Linked DNA regions of Nothobranchius furzeri. The protein of the gene in region 3 purifies or fractionates together with the protein of the main gene of each other region. This does not show direct contact. Links are inferred from orthologs where the notes say so. Each region holds a gene or a part of one and is shown on either strand. Other genes may lie near its edges. The genes, in order: cnot6a, capzb and cnot1.

The links.
Region 1: the proteins of cnot1 (region 3) and cnot6a purify together in Homo sapiens (affinity purification with mass spectrometry; 5 studies listed by BioGRID and IntAct, with this or other methods). This does not show direct contact. The link is inferred for Nothobranchius furzeri from reciprocal best matches to the Homo sapiens genes CNOT1 and CNOT6.
Region 2: the proteins of cnot1 (region 3) and capzb purify together in Homo sapiens (affinity purification with mass spectrometry; 5 studies listed by BioGRID and IntAct, with this or other methods). This does not show direct contact. The link is inferred for Nothobranchius furzeri from reciprocal best matches to the Homo sapiens genes CNOT1 and CAPZB.

The regions. Positions count from the first base shown.
Region 1 is NC_091741.1:95,567,843-95,572,998, forward strand, and holds part of cnot6a (CCR4-NOT transcription complex subunit 6a), read right to left. Parts: intron 4,072-5,156; coding exon 3,885-4,071; intron 3,401-3,884; coding exon 3,315-3,400; intron 3,240-3,314; coding exon 3,135-3,239; intron 3,001-3,134; coding exon 2,932-3,000; intron 1-2,931. UniProt on the Homo sapiens protein: Poly(A) nuclease with 3'-5' RNase activity.
Region 2 is NC_091743.1:46,417,353-46,420,952, reverse strand, and holds the start of capzb (F-actin-capping protein subunit beta), read right to left. Parts: upstream 2,601-3,600; 5' UTR 2,369-2,600; coding exon 2,366-2,368; intron 1-2,365. UniProt on the Homo sapiens protein: F-actin-capping proteins bind in a Ca(2+)-independent manner to the fast growing ends of actin filaments (barbed end) thereby blocking the exchange of subunits at these ends.
Region 3 is NC_091744.1:81,580,340-81,585,495, forward strand, and holds part of cnot1 (CCR4-NOT transcription complex subunit 1), read left to right. Parts: coding exon 1-52; intron 53-599; coding exon 600-770; intron 771-899; coding exon 900-1,027; intron 1,028-2,727; coding exon 2,728-2,968; intron 2,969-3,064; coding exon 3,065-3,184; intron 3,185-3,405; coding exon 3,406-3,528; intron 3,529-3,635; coding exon 3,636-3,787; intron 3,788-4,514; coding exon 4,515-4,665; intron 4,666-4,762; coding exon 4,763-4,973; intron 4,974-5,156.

The DNA.
Region 1 (5,156 bases), on a different chromosome or scaffold from region 3:
TGTGTGCATTCTTGCTGTTAGCCTGCCGTTAAAAGTTCTGAGCAACTCATTAAAGGAAGAAAAACTCAATTACTCACTTCACACATACATTTCACTGTAACATCAAGTTATTGGTAATTGAAAAAGTAGCTTGAGATATTTTTGAGCTGACTATTTGCTCCTTATTCATCGTTAGCATTGTTAGCTCAATAATAAACTCTAGCCTGCTTTACTCAACATTAAGCCCCCTTCAGACAGGCCATGAAAAACGGAAATGTTCCGGAATCTGTCCGTAAGACCTTTCTGTCTGAATACAAACATCCGGATAATGTGTTCCGGAATTTATCCGGACGAAGCCCCTAGTAACAGGTCCGGACTTGTTACGGACAGGGTGGCTGATTCAGACTGGTGAGGTAAAGTTCCGGACAAGAGGGAGGGGGAGGAGGAGGGGACCGGGGGACGCTGTGCGCACCTAGATAGCCCGCTGCTGTAGCATGCGGCGATCAACGGCAGCTCGCCTCCTACGGTACCGTCTAGACGCGCGAGGGAGCGCTTCACACCGCTTCAGTGATTCCTTTAACCATTGAGCTTCATCATCCAGGTCTCTTATGCGTCTTCGTGTGCGCAGAATTATGCTTAAGCGCCTCGTGATTTTTATCTTGAGAGGCGCTGTAGAAATGATATTTTCTTCTTCTTCTTCTTCTTCTTCTTAACATGAGTCCGATCACCCCCCCACCACCACCACCCCCCGCCGCCGTCAGACATCTGGAACTTTTCCCTGCTGTGTGAACGCAGCCGAAAGGACAAGTTCCGGTACAAAAGTGGTGTGTCTGAAAACACAGTTCCGGTTAAAAACCGGATTGAATTGTCCGCAAATGTTCCAGAATGTCTGTCTGAAAAGGGCTTTAGAGTACAACTAAAGGATGCAGTAGCTTCTTAGGGGTCGCACTTGTTTACTGGCTTTATTCAGTTCTTTTAACAACTCTGGAGCACTGTGTTGAATTACAAATGCCTGGGATGCTGGGTTAGCTCACTGCAGACTTGGCAACCTCACAAACTCACCGAATAAAGTCTGCTGCACACGAGAGCAAACGGCCTCAAATGGTCATTTGCTCAGCAGATACCTCCCTGTGTGCGCCTGATTTTCAAAGAGTTTTCAGCCTCACGAGACGCTGAGGTGAATATCTGACCGGTTTGATATTTTCCGCCTCACAGGGGGTAAAAACTCGCTGTGTGCGCACTACGTGTGCTGCTGGCTGAGCTGAAATATTCTAGTGGCCAATCAAAGCGCATTCTCTGCTCACATGATTCCAAGATGTATTCAGATGTGGCCCCTGCCCTGTCTGAGTGTCAGAAAAATAAACGAAACAGTGCCTTGCAGATCGATGGGCCCACTGTTTCCACTACCCCCTCAAAGGATTCAGGATCCAGGCTGTGGTACTGTCGGAAGCATTCTGGGTCTTCAAGACACATCTCTTGGAGTAGATTGGTATAAACTCCTTGCCTGGCCCTGCTTTACAGCCACCGTACACATACTATCCTAACCTTGAAATGACGGTGGTGGCGATGCCTCATAAACAAAAAAAGTAGAGGTATTTCCTCCGTTTCCAGCTACGTCTTCGTTTTGTTTATTTTCTGACATGCAGACAAGGGGCTGCCATCTTGGGGTCATGTGAGTGGAGAACGTGCTTTGATTGGCCACTAGAATATTTCAGCTCAGCCAGCAGCTCACTTAGTGCGCACACGGTGAGTTTTTACCCCCCCGAGGGGGTCAGATATTCACCTCAGCGTCTCGTGAGGTGGAAAATGCGCACACAGCGAGGTATCTGCTGAGCGAACGGTCATTCGAGGCCCCTTGCTCAGCAGTTGGCTCTCGTGTGCGGCAGGTTCTAAGTGACGTCCCCATTTTGTTTTGTCTTTTTAAAGGAGAAAATCTGACAACACCCCAGCCAGCGGAGAATTAAATCTGTTTCATTGTAACCTTCCTTTCAGTGTGATTGAGACATTAAACTGTTTTGGGCTGCCTAGTGGTGCAGTTGTTAGCACTGTTGCCTTGCAGCAAGAAGGTTGCAGGTTCGAAACTCGGCTACAGCCTTTCTGCGTGGAGTTGCGTGTTCTCCCCATGCATGCGTGGGTTTCCTCCGGGTACTCCGGTTTCCCCCACAGATCACAACATGCCCTATAGGTTATAAGTTGTACATTGCTTTGGATGAAAGCGTCTGCTAAATAAATAAACAAACATTATTTCACTGTGGAACTCTTACATAATGCTGCTTTAATGACGGATCAGTGAAAAAGAAGCAGCTTTTACTAAATATTTAGAAAAAAGCTTCTGAATATCACGGGTGCAATCATGATGGTACGGGTGTATGTATACTATTCACAAACACCTGTACCATCATACACATAAAACTATTAATTGTAATTATCATTGTGCAAACATTTACACAGATATAAAGTAACAGAAGAGGATGAGGAAGATTTAGGTTAGTTAAGTCTGATGAGGAAGTGGCAGTGAGCAAGTTTGTGCTTCTTTTGATCCCTTTTCAGGTTTGTGATTGACCATGTCATTCTTTGATTCTTATACTTGTTTTGTTTTTCTGTTTTTATTTAGTATTTAAAATACTTACAAATGGAACTGCATACTCAGAATAAAACAGATTACTACAACTATCACTACTTCTGGGTATTATTTACTGCCGCGATAAAATCTTCTAATCAAATATCTGCATTAGCTTTACTGACCGTGAATAATGTTTGCTAGCGTTCTTGTATTTAGGCGTTTAACCGTATAGCCTGCAAATCGCTTCCAGCTGCTTCAGAACAGTGCTGAGAAAACATCCTCTCCTGCATCTATAGCCAAAACTTAAATAACTATTAAATATATTTAAAACATAACCTACTTCTGTGAGAGGAAAGGAGGTGTGTGTGTGTGTGGGTGGGTGTTCTTACTTGACGGACGTGTTCGGTCGGGTTCCTGAAGAGAGATCCACGATCGGGCAGGGGGCTGCTCGGTTGGTACTGTGTGGAGGAAAAGACGGTTCAGTAAAAGCCCTTAAACGCTTCTCCTATCCAGTATCCTCTTCTCTTCCCAGGCGTAGGAAAGCTGAAATTCCTGTTCAGCCTTACAACGACGGCAGAGGGCTGATACTCACTGCGCTTGATAGCTCCTGCCAGATTGTCTAACAAGTAGCTGAGCAGTCTCCGTGTGCCATCGGGTTCCTGGTAGAGGCTCATAATATCTTGTGCAAGTGGGTTTCCTAAGAAACACAGAAATCAGCTGTAAAAACAGCAGAGAAATAAATAAATGGGCTTTGAGGACTGAAGCCACTCACCTTTTAACCCCAGTGTCTGTAACTGAAACAGTTTTCCCAGTTCAAAGGGGAGAACTCGCAACTGGTTGTTATTTAAAAGCAATTCCCTGCCGAGGACAAACAGGAGTCAGGTTATTTACAAACACTTCAGAAAACAGCAACACTTTCACTGCAGTTTTTACATCCAGGTTTACAATTAAAAACTTCTCAGTGGCCTGATGGTAGAGGTCTGCCCCGGGACTGGGAGATCGGGGGTCAAACCAAAAACTTGTGCCTCCCTGCTTTAAGGGGTTGGGTTGGGGGTTAAACCACCAAAGAGTTCCCGAGCGCAGCCACTGCTGCAGCTTACTGCTCTCCACGGGGATGAGTCAAATGCAGAGATGCACTTCACCCGTGTGTGAGGATGACTTAGGGACTTTAACTTTAAAAACAAACACGACTCATTAAGTCTTTCAAATGAAAACAAAGACACTGAAAGGGGAAAATCTGCAACAGAATAATAAAAAACACCTCATGAGAGTTCCCGGTAACCTGTGACTGCTCCTTTTCCAGCTCAGCACTAATTACATTGTGTAACCTGAAATCACTGACCTGAGAGACACCATGTTGCCGAGCTCCGCCGGCAGGCTCCTGATCTTATTGGATGAGAGATCCAGGTACACCAGGTTGTGTAGTTTGGCTATGTCTGGCGGGATTCGTGACAGAGAGTTGTCACTGAGGTGAAGGGCAGTGAGGTGGGTGAGAGACCACAGGGCTGTGCTAAGACTCCTCACTCGACCTGCAGCAACAGGGAGGACAAATTAAACAGTGTGTGTGTGTGTGTGTGTGTGTGTGTGTGTGTGTGTGTGTGTGTGTGTGTGTGTGTGTGTGTGTGTGTGTGTGTGTGTGTGTGCGTGTGCGTGTGTGCGTGTGTGTGTGTGTGTGATGGGCATAACTGTGACTACAGTTACTTTATAGAAGATAATCTAGTTCTGGACAAATAAAATGAAAATTTCTACATCTCTACTTGAAAGACTCAGTCTACACATTTATTATTTTGGGGTAAATAAAAAGCTTCGCCTCCCTAATGAAGCCTTCCTCAGCTTCCCAACTAGATACCATATTGACGTTGTCAGGGGAGCAGCCTGCTGCTGAATTTAGCTCTCAGGTGTAATTGAATTAATGAGGAGCAAACGAGAAATTCAGCACCAAACACGGGCCGTGCTGTCGGTAACAGCGGCCGGAGGTTTGAGACGGCTGCAGGAAAGAGGAAGCTGGACCTTCTTTACGTAACTGACTAAACACAGGTGGGTGTGTGCCTAACACCCAGATTAGATCTCCAGTGTTCTGAGCCGGCGTTATAATCCAGCTGCTGGCTATCACATCACTTTGCTAGATTTTGGCCACTTTAAAAACTAACTCAAATAAATTATATTTAAAATTTTATTTTTAATCCTAATGACCTAAAATTATTTATTTAAACAGAAGATGAGTATAAGCAGAGGAATGTACTAAAATATGTTAAATCATCTCATGTATCAACACACTCAAATCTGCTAATATATTATTTTTACACGGGCAACATATTTCACAACAATTAATAAAACTATTAAGCTGTGTGCCTAAAAAACCAAGATAACGTACCTCAGAGGAATATTATGTTTCAGAAATGTCTTAAAATTATTAGCCTCCTTCTGCCATAACAGTCTATGAGCATCGGGTCGGATGAACAGAGTTCCGACACAACTCCCGTTTTTTATTCCATTTGCTTCCATATTCTATAAGGGTGTTCCGATTCACAATTTAATCGATGCATCGCGTTGTGACATGTGCCGACTCATAATCGATTTGTAAAAGTTCAGAGACGATTATAAAAAAAATGCT
Region 2 (3,600 bases), on a different chromosome or scaffold from region 3:
TCACAGGAAAAAATACCACGATATATTGCCATATCGATATTTTCTTACACCCCTAATTCCCTGAGAAGGCTGTGTGAACAAAACCTGGCTGCGCAGAGATGGGCCAGCCCAACCTAGACTGCCATATGAGACAGGACCTTAGTGGGCAGACCAGTTGCAACAGGAAACTGTTTTAAGGAGTGACATTTTTAAGGTGAGATAACAGGCTGCAGAAGTGTCTACACATGTTTTCATCCAACCTTTACCAGACAGACAGAAACAAAGTCTTCAGAGATCACATGTAAATCTTATTGCTCCAGCACTTACATAGTTAAGGTGCTAAAATATACACTAAAACACAACAGATTACACCTATGTGTGCCCTTAGTTTGCAAAAAAGTCAAAGAATTGTTGAGCTATGTATATGCTTCTTTTACGCTCTCGTTTTTGTCATGCTTTTATTTTGAAGGTGTTAAGAGTGCTTACGTGACTTCCTGACTCCAAACAGGTTGGTCAGATGAAATTTAAGGTAATGTGTCTCACCTGTGTGTGTGTGCAGAGAGATGAGTAAAGCGTTCTGAGACTTCTCTTCCTCTGTCTTTGTGAACTAAGTTGAACCGCTGATAAATGTAAGCTCTGCTAACAAGAATGACAAACGACACAAAACCCAATCCAATGCTCCTATAAACCAACAATAAAGTATGTTGAAACAGAAGAAAAACAAACAAACAAACCCCTATCTCAACAAAATGTGTTATACCAGATTAATTCACTTCCCTTACAGATGTAAACAAAACCATCTAACATGGGTAATCCACACCTGAAGTGTGCAAACATACTAAAGTACATAAGAATGCATCAACCATCTGGTACAAGAATAATGACATGCTACAAAGCAGAGAGCCCTCTGAGCATAAATATTTTCATTAAGGCTAAAACAGAACATAACAGATGTTTATAGGAAGTGTCTCGCATAAAATCTCCCGTCACAAAGGTCACTTTTTAAAATCAATTTCTAACTGATGAATCACTCTGCTTCATTAAACACCCGTGTTTCTTGACAATGCATTTACAAGTGCTGCTGTCTTCATGTAAACACCGATCAGACGAGCAACTTCTGGGGTCATAGGAGAACAGACTAAAGACGGGGGCAGCTGTTCTACTTGGTTTAGTTCCTGTTGACGTCAAACAGTCATGCTGCCTACTTGTGGAAAGAAAATGCTAAAAAACTGGATGTAAAATGAAGCTAGTAAAAGGGTTTGAGTAGAAAACAAATACGTTTGAATTTTAAGAGATAAGCATCATATCTATTAACAAATGCCACCCTCTGCATTGTATTGTGTGTTTGAACTTTTGTCAGGAAACAAACGCGAGTTGCTGAAACTTTGGGCAACAAATTAACTGAAGCAGAAAAGAGATTCATATTATCTCAGTGTTATGGAAAACCTGTTTGATATCACTTGAATGGAACAAGCACTCATGCGGTGTTAAGTGAATGAGTCTTGTCAAACTAGTAATTCAGATAAATAACAAGCATCTTTTTGGTTCTCTGGAGTCACCACGAGACTAAAAAAAGGCTTACAGAGAGTTTGGAAAACTTAGAACATTAAAATATGTTGCTAAACATAGAAAAATATTGCAGCAACTGTTTTATTACATTTTTAAATAATTTCATTAACAGTTAATATTCTAACCCTTGTAACTTTTGCTGTTATTTTCACACATATCTGGGGTTCATACAATTCAATAGATTAAACAGTTAGAAAAATTCTGTCATTTTGTTTAGTTCAATATGATGTTTTATGGATTAATTTGACATAACATACAAAGGTAACCATATTTTAAGGCTGACGAGAATAAAATTAGACTAAAAATAAGTCATGTGAACATGGAGACTGGGCTGGACTGGGTGTCAGACCTATCCAGGAAAATGTAGAGAAAGGCAGCCAACTTGTCATGATTAGAAATAGTAGGAGCAAGCGCTCTTATTTTAGCTGCGAGCCACTCCGTGCTTGGCTGTTTCAGCCAGAGTAAAAGGGTGGATGAACTGTGTGAGTGTGTGTGAGAGAGAGAGCTAAATTAGGATTGATCCCTGCTGTAGCAAACTTGTGTCAAATACAAAACATCCTGTGTTAACTTTACCTATGAGGCAAGTAGATTGACTACTGTTAGCAGGAAGCTAACTAGCAACTTAGCCATGAAGCTAAATAATACTTTTCGCCACGCAGAAGTTCTGCTAGCCACGCAAGTTGGATGCACTCAGTGATTTGTGCTCCGTGCTCCTCTCAAATTACCACCCAGCTCCTCCAACCAGCAGCTGAGTGAAAAAGCAACCGCAGCCAAAGCCTAAAACCCCATCTCCAACCAGCTTCTCCGAGGGCCTTACCATGTCTGCGGCGGTCTCAGCGGGGATCGATATCACCGATGACTGTACACCTTAGCTTTGTGGTGATTTGCCAACGTACTTCTCTGGTCTCTTGTCGTTTTTATTTATACTTAGTACCCCGCGGAAGATGTTTTGTTCGCCTCTCCCTTTCTGAACCCAGCCCTGTCAGCGAAATTTACTTCCTCAACCCGGGCTATAGGAAGGAGGCTGCGGTGAGAAAACAGGCCCCGCTTGTACATCCGGGTCACTGGGGGTTAGTTTGCATCAGCCAATAGCGACGGAGCAAGAAAGGCATTGCCAAGTATGGAAAGAGATGAGCTTAGCAGCAAATATGCAGCCAGGGAGGGCGGAAGATGGACAGCTACTGAAAAAAAAACTATAATTGCAAACTGAAACTACAAATAAATAATAATAACAACATAAAAACCTGTCATCCATATTACAATTAAAATTCTTCCTGTCAACATTTATATAATTAGAACTGAACATTATCATTTGAAACTGGCCGTGTTCAGAAATTTAGTTTTGCTCAGTGACCGTAGAAAGAGGTTTTGCTGTTTTATGCATTCTTTATCAAGGTTGTTTCATAGAATGCTTAGGCAATGTTATTCAAATATAGGTCTGCAAGTCATAAATTTCAGACTTCATGAATCATGAGAGGATTAATTAAAAATGATAAATCAAATGCAAATAAAAGATTTTGTTTAATCAAAATTTTAAAAAGATGCTCAGTTACTGAAAAACTAAACATACCTGTGTTTTGAAATCGGAACAAAATGTAGGACACTTCTGACACATCTTTATTTATTTATAGTAAATGGCCTGCATGTGTTCTCATATACCTTCTAGAGTTCTACAACCCTCCAAGGCACTTCACAACACAATCAGTCATTCACCTGTCCCACCCCCTCCCCCAATGTTTTCCAATGACATTTTTTTGTCCTCTTCACTTTTTACCATCCAAAAACAATATCACGCTGTATTAAATAGACATTGGTTGACCACTAGGACCAAGCAGAAAACAACCACTTGTGTTTACGCCTGTTTCTCATTAGAACCATCCATGAGCTCATCTATTGGCTCTGCTGATACTTACTAACGTGTGATTGGCCATTCTTGTTGTCGTTCCAGGTTGTAAACAGGATGTGCTTTCATCATCGGGATCTCCTGATAAATCCCTGCTTGATCAGGCGCTCCCCTCCCAGATTCGCCGGCGCCACAAACGATTCTCAGGT
Region 3 (5,156 bases):
TCAGGCACATACGTGGAACGTTGAGGTTCTCATTGATGTTGTCAAAGAAGTGGTAAGTGATGTGACGTTCTCTCAGTTAGCCTTGATGTTCGGTTCATGTTTCTCTCTGTTTGGGATTGGCTTCTGCACAGTCACCAGAGTTGGCCAAGAGTCTGGTAACAAGGTGCACCATTCCTGCTCCTGGCAGATGAAACAAACCGTCGTTTTTGTGTAATTAATGACGAGTAGTCTTTTTTTTTTAGTCTAGAACATGAGATCCATCATGCTTACCTTCACTTTAAATGGAGCAGGTTGGTTTTACTTTTGAAGGATTTGCTGCTTCGTATTAAAACTGATTGTAAAGTTTAGCATGAAGTAGCCACATCCTGAGGTTTCCTCAGCATTAAAACACAATAAAGCACTTTCTCTACTAAAGCTGTTAAATATATTTTCTAACTTTCAAATCATTTCAGAATCCCAGAAAATGATATTTCTGTTTTTGTAAATGAAATTTTGCTGCTTGGTTTTTCTTTGACCTTATTTCTGATTATCTGAAACATCTTGTTCCTGTTCAAAAAGAGATCAGCCTTCTGAGACTCATATCTTTTCTGATATCTTAGAATCCCAACTTGAACTTCAAAGAGGTGACGTATGAACTGGACCACCCAGGCTTCATCATCCGGGACAGTAAAGGCCTGCACATAGTGGTGTATGGGATCCAGAGAGGGCTAGGCATGGAGGTGTTCCCTGTCGATCTCATCTATCGACCATGGAAACATGCGGAGGGACAGGTAAGTCTGTCAGATTCATATTGTGTCATTTTAAGTAGTTGGAACTGTTTGAAGACGTTGTAAACTCTTGTAAAAGTACTTTAGGAGTTTTTGTATTATTTTTGTAAACGGTGAACTTTCTTTTTCCAGCTGTCGTTCATTCAGCACTCCCTGATTAACCCAGATGGGTTCTGCTTCGCTGACTATCCTTGTCACACCGTGGCCATCGACATCCTCAAAGCACCTCCAGAAGATGACAACAGAGAGATCGCCACATGGTATGGAGGCTGTTGCTTGTCTGGGGCTGCTTCCGTGAGGTTTGATTAATTGAGCTGAAAGCAAATGTTTTTTATGTCTAGAGCTGAGGAAAATAATCAAATAATCGATGCATCGGGATGCGGACATAAACGATTCTGCGTCGTAGAAGAGTACGCCATAATCGATTATAGTGGAATGTAGTTTTGTTTTTTTAACGGCGGCACCAGCACACCATCCAGATCTGTCAGAGTGAGCGTCCTCCACATTTACCAAGTGGTTCCGCCTTAATGTGGTACTGCAGGGCTGAGCGCTTGAGTTGTAACCGGAGACCGAACCGGAACCGAATCAGCCCGACCGGTTCTGTTGGATTTGGGCCGTGAATTATGTTAATTAAGTGGGTTGTCACGCTGCTCGCTCCGCTCGCTCGCACAGCAACTGAGAGAGAGAGAGAGAGAGACATTGTCTGCTCACACACGAGAGGATCGGAGGACGCTCCTCCAAACCGATGCTCCAAACACGCATTATTATTTTCATAATTTAATTATTTCTCCTGGAAGCGCTCAGTCAAACAGAGTGTTGTGATGCTGAGAGATCCGGTCTTGGGGAGGGGGCGGGGTCAATGACGGCGGCTGCAGCGTGATTGCCTGTCTTTTATTTAGGGACACGGAGAAGTTAAAAGGAGAGAGAAATAGAAGTTCTTGTTCCACTTTATTCTTTTGTTCCACGATGATAAACTGATGTTAAATTCAGCTGAAAGAGAAACTGGGAGGAAGCTTTGGTTCATTTTAGGTTACAGGAGGTCTTGTCTCCTATCTGCTCCTCCAGAGACAGCATGGACATGAGGGTTACATGGTGAGGGTCACACAGGACAGGTTAGTGGAAAGGTTTGTAGTTAGCTGGTTAGTGAAGGCGATCCATCAGCTGGGTAATTTAATCCTAATCCAGCCCACAGCCTTCTGCTGGTGTTATTATCAGAAAGAATAAAACACACATCTTAAATATGATTGGAAGTGTAGAATTAGTTTTATGTTTTATTATTTTCTGCATCAAACAGAACTTGATTCATGCTCCAACATTTCAGAAGCGAACCACTGGGTTCAAATAAAATAACAAACAAGTCAAACATTTCATTTGGTGTTATTTCTGACACCCTTCAACTGTGGCATAAACATCTGACTCTAGAGCTGCTCAGAGACATTAAACACTCCTTTATGAACCCAGTATGTATTTTATTATTACATTGTGTGTCCTGTAGGTTTTCAGTACTTTTTTAGATTTTGTGTGTTTTTCTCAGCCTGAGGCGTGGTCTTCAACGAGGAAACAGATCGGTTTACTTTGTTAAATCTTAAGTGTTTAAAATGTTTTGTCCTAACCTGTTGTGAATGGAGAGCTTTTGAGGGATGGCAGGTTGTCAATTACGTTTTTGATAAAAAAAAATAAAAAGCAATTTTCTGACATCTTCTATTTATCGCTGAAAACAAATCAATATGAAATAATCGTGATGCTCCTGGATCTCGAATCGAATCGAATCGTTGACCCAATAATCGTAATTGAATTGGGAGACAGGTGAAGATTCGCACCTCTATTGATGTCCTTACTGAGCGATCAATAAAAAATCTGAATTAGTGTGCCCTCTGCCTGGATCGTGCGGTAAATAACGTAAATGAAAACAAGCTACCACTTAAAAAAACGCTCCGATTCATTTCTTTAACTCCTCCAGGAAAAGTCTGGACCTGGTGGAGAGTCTTCTGCGCCTCTCTGAGGTTGGGCAGTATGAACAGGTGAAGCAGCTCTTCAGCTTCCCTATCAAGCACTGTCCAGACATGTTGGTGCTGGCCCTGCTGCAGATCTCCACCTCCTGGCACACGCTGCGCCATGAGCTCATCTCCACTCTGATGCCCATCTTTCTGGGCAACCACCCCAACTCTGCTATTATTTTGCACTATGCTTGGCACGGACAGGTTGGTGTTTTCTTCTTCTTCTTTTTGTGCCTTTGAGTGTAACGCACATACCCAGAGCCTCTGCCTTACTGAGACCTGTAACATTGTGCTCTACAGGGGCAGTCTCCTTCCATTCGTCAGCTAATCATGCATTCTATGGCCGAGTGGTACATGAGAGGAGAGCAGTATGACCAGGCCAAGCTGTCTCGCATCCTGGATGTGGCCCAGGATTTGAAGGTTTGTTGGAATTTTATGAGTGAGTGAGTGAGTTAGTGAGTGAGTGAATGAGTGAGATTTTTTTTCCTCAAATCTCCATGTTGGATTGGTTAAAGTAAATGTTGTAAAGCGACCTGTAACATGTCAGGTTTTAAAATTAACAAAATTAGCTAAATCTGTTTATGCTACCTGATTTTAATGGTAACAAATTAATGAATATTTGTAATTATGTTCTTTACCAGTCCCTCTCTATGCTGCTGAATGGTACTCCATTTGCCTTCGTTATTGACCTCGCTGCACTTGCCTCTCGCCGTGAATACCTCAAACTTGATAAATGGCTGACCGATAAAATCAGAGAGCATGGGGTGAGTCTCGGCGTTAAACTAGGACCAGTTATCACCAGATGTTTGGTTTTAATTCTATCACCATGAGAATGTTTCACATTTACTTGTTTCTGATGCCACTTTCACAGGAACCCTTTATCCAGGCGTGTGTGACATTCCTGAAGAGGCGCTGCCCATCCATTATGGGGGGTCTGGCCCCTGATAAGGATCAGCCCAAAAGTGCCCAGCTGCCCCCTGAGACTTTAACCACCATGCTCACCTGCCTGAAGTCCTGTGCTGGGTGAGAACCTGACATGTCTGACGCTCGTAGACCTTTCACTGCCAGGATGATTTCACGTCTGAGTTTGATCAACGTTTTGTGAAACTCATCACATGGTCTTAACTTTAGTATCAAATCCCACCGTAGCATTAGAAAAAAATACTCTAATGAAGAGGTTAAGGTGGAGTTTATTAACATTTGAGAGGAATTTGATGGATCTTATCCCTAAAGGAACAATTGCTGTTTAAACATTTCTGTTGAAATAAGGAGCTTTGACATCAAGCCTTTTAGTAAACACAATAACCTCTTTACTCAGTCAAATGGCCACAGAGCCAATGCTATATCCTAACTATAACCTTTTTAACTTGACTATATCTTATCAGCCTTTACTACATCTGTGCTGATGTTTGGTCTCAACAAGGCCTGCCTGCTGGTTTTCAAAGATTAGAGGTGAAGGTGGAAACGTTCAGACAGATTAGTTTATTAGGGGATTAAACTCTAATGAAGGAGTTCTGATCCTGTTGATGTGAAGAAACGTGCTTCCAGCTGCTTCTATTCACCACAGACAACTACTGGTCATACATCATAGCTCTGTCTGTGAGGATTTTAATACGGTGATTGATTACGTAATTCTCTTATTTGAAAACCCTTTTTTTTAAATCCACTATTTGAAATGTTTTCTAATGGGAACTCTTGCACAATAACCGTTTATGTCTACCTTTATAAAAATATTGTTCTCTGTGTGTAGGAGTGTTTCCCAGGAGTTGTCCGAGGCGATCCTTACCATGGCTGCCAACTGTAACAACGCCATGAACAAAGCTCGGCAGCCGCCACCGGGGGTTATGCCCAAAGGACGCGCCCCCAGCACCAGCAGCTTGGATGCCATCTCACCTGTGCAGGTGAACCAAATGATTCCTTGACATAGCTAATCTGTATTTTGAATCTGGAACATCTCTCTTGCTCTTGTTTAACCATTTTCTTCATGCTGTTCCTCAGATGGACCACCTGACTGCGATTGGTTCCTTGAGCCTGGCAGGAACAGCTACGTCCCACTCTCAGAGCATGCAGAGCTTCCAGCCTTCCATAAGTTCAACTCTCAATAACCCTCTGTCCCCTGCTAAAGCCTTCCCACCGCTCCCTAACCCTAATCCCAGCACGCAGTTTGGCGGAATCAGTTCCAGCTTGCAGCTCACAGGAATGGACTCTGGTACTATGATTTATTCCTTCCTTTTACACAAACGCGTCCATGCTAACCCTAGAAGTCTCAACTCCACTGACGCTGTTTAAGTAAACATGAGAAGAATTATTTGACATAACTTATAAGCTGACATAAATGTTAGATTGTTGGATGCATACAGTAACGAGGAACATTCACATCTGAGCAGGGTCA